Linked DNA regions of Danio rerio. The protein of the gene in region 1 binds, or shares a complex with, the protein of each later gene. Links are inferred from orthologs where the notes say so. Each region holds a gene or a part of one and is shown in the gene's direction. Other genes may lie near its edges. The genes, in order: acvr2aa and inhbaa.

What was found.
Region 2: the proteins of acvr2aa (region 1) and inhbaa are in contact, whole or in part, in a crystal structure (PDB 7U5P), measured with the Homo sapiens proteins. The link is inferred for Danio rerio from reciprocal best matches to the Homo sapiens genes ACVR2A and INHBA. Residues at the interface, in NP_001265508.1 of Homo sapiens: Asn36, Asp53, Lys56, Phe61, Thr63, Lys65, Val74, Lys75, Cys78, Trp79, Leu80, Asp81, Asp82, Ile83, Asn84, Val100, Phe102; in NP_002183.1 of Homo sapiens: Ile340, Ala341, Pro342, His346, Arg397, Pro398, Met399, Ser400, Met401, Leu402, Tyr404, Asn409, Ile410, Ile411, Lys412, Asp414, Glu421.

Annotation. Positions count from the first base shown.
Region 1 is NC_133184.1:27,030,885-27,034,719, reverse strand, and holds part of acvr2aa (activin receptor type-2A precursor), read left to right. Parts: intron 1-909; coding exon 910-1,064; intron 1,065-3,835. UniProt on the Homo sapiens protein: On ligand binding, forms a receptor complex consisting of two type II and two type I transmembrane serine/threonine kinases.
Region 2 is NC_133199.1:3,242,158-3,245,303, forward strand, and holds the end of inhbaa (inhibin subunit beta Aa), read left to right. Parts: coding exon 1-522; 3' UTR 523-2,547; downstream 2,548-3,146. UniProt on the Homo sapiens protein: Inhibins/activins are involved in regulating a number of diverse functions such as hypothalamic and pituitary hormone secretion, gonadal hormone secretion, germ cell development and maturation, erythroid differentiation, insulin secretion, nerve cell survival, embryonic axial development or bone growth, depending on their subunit composition.

The DNA of each region.
Region 1 (3,835 bases):
TTAACTGGTCATGTAAATGTGTTGGTACTGTAGTGAGTACACGCTGGCAGGTCAAAGCAGTTTCTTTTGTCCACGTGGTCTTGTTTGGTATCACAACTTGACTTGTCTAAAATGTAAACAAGTACTAAAGAGCACTAAACAAGCTGTTGCGCTGTACACATTTTGTACATTGTGAAATCTTAATGCGGAGAAGAAATTATGTCCAGCTCCTTTTTTTTTACATTTGGCATTATCATATAGAATTTTAGGCGACCTTTTGTCGCATCTGTAAATGTTTTCTTTGGAAAGATACCTACATTTAACCTTGAAAAAATATTCTGAAGATTTTTTTATGTGTGGTTTTATAATAAAATAAATATTGTAAATATTATAATTTGTATAAAGCATTATGTGAGTAGTATCACTTATTTAGGAGAATACAGCAATCATTTGTTTTTCTTAAGCACAGGAGCATAAGGAGACCTTCACACTGGATGGAGCACACTGAAGTGAAACTTTCGGTTGATATTTTTCCTTGAGCAAATGAAAAATCTACTTGAAGTAATAGTGCTTATGAAAACATATGGAAATATATCCTGTGTGAACAGCGCCAAGAATATTTCCCATTTATTCCCAAATAGTAACATATTAGTCAGAGATATAATATTGTTTAAAAGTTTGGGGTGAGGATTTTTTTCCCCCAAATCAGCATATTAGATATATGAAGGATCTTCTGTCACTGAAGACTGAGGTAGTTGCTGCTGAAAGTTCATCTTTGGCATCCCAGATAAATAGCATTTTGTGATATATGTAAATATCGGAAACAAATTTAAAATCCTTCTGACCCCAAACTATTGAACAGATGTGTAAATTGTGCACTTAATAAATGTTTTTATTAATGCTGATCTTTGTTGTTTTTTCTCTCATCAGCGACATCAAACCCCTTGACCCAGAAGCCGCCACTGTTCAGTACCCTTCTGTACTCCATCGTGCCCATCATGGGCATTGCAGCCATTGTCCTGCTCTCCTTCTGGATGTATCGGCATCACAAGTTGGCATACCCTCCTGTTCTGGTGCCTACCCAGGTAACTTAATGTCTTTAATATATTTTGCATGCGTTTTGATTAACATTTAATGAAATGAGAGGTGTATTTTCTTTTTTTTGAAACACTTATGTCAGTGAACCACATTCAGCACTGTATTATAAAGTCCATCTGCTCCTATCAGTGAATTTAGTTCTTCTTGCCACTAAAAGCGGTGCTATCGGGAGCTGTTATTTCCCCTGCTGGCACCTCCTGTTGATGCGAACGACAGTGATTTTAGGGATCTAATGTGCTCAATGTCACACTCGCTCAAGCTCAAACACACTGTCAGATGAAATCAAGACGAGATCCGTCAGGACGCTGTTGTGATTCGATGCCCTCTTCTCCCACCATAAACACGAGATTACAGAGCTGACAGAACACAAGACACGAGCAATCAGGTGACCTTTACCCTCTGTGTGGGACTAGTGTTAAGATTCACATCTATTTCTGAACTACACAATAGATCTTTATAGATTTGGCCTGTGATGTCAAGGAATCTGGGCCAGGGGGGAAGAAAAATCCTTACTGTTGAGCACTGCAGGACATCTTTGGCAGCTCTGAATAGATGCATTTACAAGCGCGTGTGTCGGGGTGAGCTGTGGGACTTGTATGGTTGCACAAAGGGTTACCTTTGTGTCAGGTGAGCATTTGGAATTCCCCGATTGAGTTTCAGTGTTATGTAGGCCAGATCTGACAGATGAACCATCCCCGCAGCGCTACTGATATTAAATATCATGATCAGCCCAAACTTGTTTTTGATATGGAAGAAGTTTTATTAGCTTTTAATGTAGCAGTCAAAAGTCTTCAGGGACTATAACAACACTTGGTTAAAATGAAACCGTGTTGGCAATTTTTTTTAGTGGTGCATTTGTTCGTAAATTGGATGAATTATAGTTTTGATTGTGGGAAGGGGTCGATTAAATGTATGATGCTGGGCTTGATGATGTTAGCTGAAATATGCACTGCTGGTTCTGTTTATATATATATATATATATATATATATATATATGTATATATATATATATATATATATATATATATATATATATATATATATATATATATACATACAAAATTAACGCGTTAACGCATGCGATTAATTTGAAATAATTAACGCGTTTAAAAAAATTACGCAGTTTTTTTTTTGTTTTTTTTTTTTTTTTTTTTTTTTTCCTGTTGTGGCCAGGGGCAGACGCCGGGCAATTTCCCCGCTGTTTCGACGTACTTTTTTGGGCCGGGCTGATCATCTTCTTATGATCTGATCGGCCCATAAAACACTATTGTCATGTTTTTCTGCCTCAGTTATTGACGGTGCTGTGAGCTATCACGCTCTGAAAGTAAGATGTTTCTTTTCCGGAAAGAGCAGCCGTGCGACATCATCTGTAGCCCATTGGTTTTTTTCTTTATTGACATTGGGCTGACTCAATCACAAACTTCCATGTTGGGCTCTGTGTAACCCAGTTGTGTATTGGTCAAAATAGCCGAGAGTCACGCCTGTTTCTTACGCGCCGGTCTGTGCCTTTTAATCTGCACCACGGCCCGCGGCAACTTCTGCCTGCTGTTTCCTTAACCTGCAAGTCTTTATTTTACAAATTATAAAGAATGTCCGCTTCTAAAGCTCTGAGGGGTGTCAGTCATGAATTTTAAGATGCACTCGGTCAGAAGACAAGCGCAGGAGATATCATGACATTGTGTGTTTGATCGTCAGCATGATGTAGGCTTATAGTGACAATATTTATACAATATGGTTATTATAATGATATTTATACATGACCAAACTAGTGTGCAACTTAAGCAACTTTTTTTTTTTACATTTAGTTTTGTAGTTCGGGCAGAAACAAATATTTGTTGCATTTTTCAATTGTTTAAGTTCATTTGATTGACAATGTAAAATCTTTTAGCTACATTTGATGTTTCATTGTTGAGTAAACATGTTTTTAAGGGTCTCTGACTTTCTCTGCTTTTATAATTTATCTTTATTTTATTAATCAACATTAACTGTGTACGTCAGCAGGCAGTTTTTGTTATGTTCATTATTTATTAGGCTCCCTCAAAACACACAGGCACCCACATTTTCAGTGTGGATTATAATTTTATTTTAATAATAAATAAAAAAATTTAGTTTTTTAATTTGTCAACTCTCGTTATTTCCTATATATGGCTGTTGTGCTTTTATAGAATGGGAGTTACTAAACCCATTCAAGGGCATGCACAGATTTTCAATACTTTATTATTATTATTATAATTTTCCATATCTGCAATGCTTTTATTTTGGCATTTTTTTTGCAGTCCACATAGAATCCAACATGGCATTAACATGACTGTGTTTTTATTTTTGTAATAAATATGGCTGTCAAGCCAGGATCTTGATGGTTTATTGTGGGTATGTTGTTTACATGAAGATAATCTGTGTTACAAGTTAAACAAAAATTCTAGTAATGAATTATATTTTGTATTTAAACAGTATTTGTCTTGCATTTATATTAATTTTACACTAGAATAGCCCAAATTAAAAGTTTCAGTCTTTTAAATGTGATTAATCGCGATTATTTTTTTAAAAAGTGAGATTAATTAGTTAATTTTTTTAATCAATTGACAGCACTTATATATACACACACACACACACACACACACACACAGTTGAAGTCAGAATTATGAGCCCTCTTTGAATTTTTTTTTTTCTTTCATAAATATTTCCCAAATAATGTTTAACAGAGCAAGGAAATTTACACAGTATGTCTGATAATATTTTTTATTCTGAAAGTCTTATT
Region 2 (3,146 bases), on another chromosome or scaffold:
GGGGGAAGCACGCTGAGTCTGCGCGTCTCCTGCCCGCTGTGCGCCGACGCCCGGGCCACGCCGGTGCTGGTGTCTCCCGGAGGCAGCGAGCGCGAGCAATCCCATCGGCCGTTCCTCATGGCCGTAGTCCGACAGATGGACGAGCTCTCCCTGAGGAGGCGTCGCAAGAGAGGCCTGGAATGCGACGGCAAGGCGCGCGTCTGCTGCAAGCGACAATTTTACGTAAACTTCAAGGACATCGGCTGGAACGACTGGATCATCGCTCCGTCGGGGTACCACGCCAACTACTGCGAAGGCGACTGCGCCAGCAACGTGGCAAGCATCACCGGCAACTCGCTGTCCTTCCACTCCACGGTCATCAGCCACTACCGTATCCGAGGGTACAGCCCTTTCACCAACATCAAGTCCTGCTGCGTCCCCACGCGCCTGCGAGCCATGTCCATGCTCTACTACAACGAGGAGCAGAAAATCGTCAAAAAGGACATCCAGAACATGATTGTAGAAGAATGCGGCTGCTCGTAAGGGCACTTCGAGAAGAGGAAGGGTGGGAAGGGAGCATGGTTGGACGGTCGGGGCAAGAACTTGAGTCCCGAAACGAATGGAAAAAGACGAGATGTAGAGGGAGGAGTCGAGAGCTCCTCTATCTCTATCTCACTGCCTCAAGACGAACTCTCGCGTAGACAGGCCTCTCTTTCTCTCGACCACTTGTGCGTGGTCATCTTAGAATCCAATGGGTATCTGTAACTCAGAGTAATCTCTGTGGCACTTTCAAAAGAGAAAAAAAAAAAGAAATATAATATATTTTTGTTACAAAGCAAAGGGAGCGAGGTCAGAGAGTATTTATGCGGCCTACTTTGCAGCGCAGACGTGCACTGCGGGAAGAGAGATCACACAGATGAGGTGCCTGAAAAAGAAAATCTCAAAACTATGCAACTTGTCAAGTATTACGATATATTTTCATCAAGGTGTTGTTTTGTTTCTTAACTATTTACTTTTACAAACTAAAAGAAAAGTTAACGTCGGTTGACTTTTTATACCTTGTTTGTGTGTTTTACGTATACATGTTTGTCGTGTGTGTCTGTACAAAAGTGTGTGCGTATGTGCAGTCTGCCTATGGGAGTATTTGTGTACGTGTGTGTGTGTGTGTGTGCATGTCTGTTTGTGTGTGTTGTTGAGAGATACTTGAAAGAAGTTTGACGGGCTGCTGGAACCAAACATTTCTCTATATTATTATTATTATTATTATTATTGTTATTATTCTAATTATTCTGACTATTGTTAATAATGTTATTATTTTGTTTTGGTTTCTGTACATTTTTTTTTGTTATCTTAATATGAGACGTTAAAACGTTTACAGTTTTGCACTATATCAACATTTTGATCAGCGTAGCCACATATACAAATATGTTTATAGAGAAAGACTAGAAGCACTTCAGAACAGACGTACCTACATAGCATGAGTCTAACAAATGAGATTGTTCAAAAAAAAAAAAACAGGGAGGTTAGAGGAGAAGCAAGAGTCGACTAGCACTACATCAGAGGACCATGTGTACACATGCGTTTTACAAAATAGTGTTTTGGTTTTTTACTCAACACCAAAGAGTTTCGTTTAGCGTTGCCTACCATATCAGGCTGTCTCCGAACGGTTGTTCAGAAGATACCAATATGTCTTTCAGAAGGTTGCTTTGTTCTCCCTACAAAGATGTCCAGGTTAGCGAACCGAAAGACCTTTAAAACGGCTTCTCAACGTCCCACAGCGGCTCACTCCTGTGTGTGCTTTTGCACTGCTGCACAGTCCAATCGCGACTGGCCATCGAAATGGTTAAAACAGCACTTAAACCAACCTTTTAAAGTTTGTTTTTCTTTTAATCATGAATTGTTACAAAAGTGAATGTGCAGCATTGATATTTAATGACTTGGGAGATGAATTACTATTTAGGTATTTGCAATTTCTGTCCACCAAATATTAAAGGGATCTTCGACGATCCAAACAAAAATATATCTATTAAAAAAAAGGAACTGTTTTTGTTCTGCAGATGTTGATATTTCCGCTTCCCGACATGAAATATTTTACCACTGTGCAATGTTTAAAAAAATGAAGCAATTTGGGAAATGAAAAGAAAAAAAAAAAGAACAGAAAAGACTGAGAGAACGTTTGTGTTACATTTTGAACTAAGAAAAGTTTACTATTTTCAGCGTGCTCCTAATGGGAGCGCATACGAAATGTCATTAAAGAGAAAAAAAAATACTATTAAAACAGAAAAACAGATTCAGAAGAAAAAAATAACACATGTTGTATATGTTTTTGTATGTTTATTTGTTTGTTGTTATTAAAAAAAATAATTGACACTGAAAAAAGTGGACTAAGAATAAAAAATATATTTTTTATTCTGTATATATGGAAATCAAGATACCAATATGTTGCATTGCTTTGTTGTACAAATCAAAAATGTGCTTGTGGCTATTTTTTTTAATCTAATTTATTCTACAGTATTTTGTCCTTTGCTTCACCATTAAAGTTAAAAGGTTGTACACTAAAACAGATGACAAACGTGTTGGTTGTGATTTCTTGCACAGGACACACACATCTAATTTTAAGATAAACAACAATTCACAAAGCACACGCCAGACTGTATGGACCCTATCACAATTATGACACATTTAACAGTCATCGACATCTTAAAAAGTTTAAATATTTCTTTAAATGTATGTGCATTTATAAAGCTATACTTTGCATTAAGTTTATCATCTTTACATCAAATTACAAAAAACAAATTACCGCTGACGTGTGGTGTTTCTAATGTAGCGTCTATGGGGGCTGGAACAGTAAATTTGACAGTTTTTCTCTTGAGTTTGTTGTGATCAATCTCAATTCCCTCAATTTTTTTTTCTGAAATCTTGATAACACAATCTATTAGTTGTTCTTTTATTATTTGAGCAATTATGAAGGTGTTGTATTTTCCCATTGACTGGTTAAAGTCTATAAGAGATACGGCTGTGGATTTTGTGTAGTTGTGTAGTGTGACACTGTACAACATTTTTTTTTACCATTTTTATGTTACTGTGGGGTTTGGGTTTAGGATTAGGCATAAATAAAATGCATTTTAACGGGTAATTTAATGAATAATACAAATGATACTTGATAT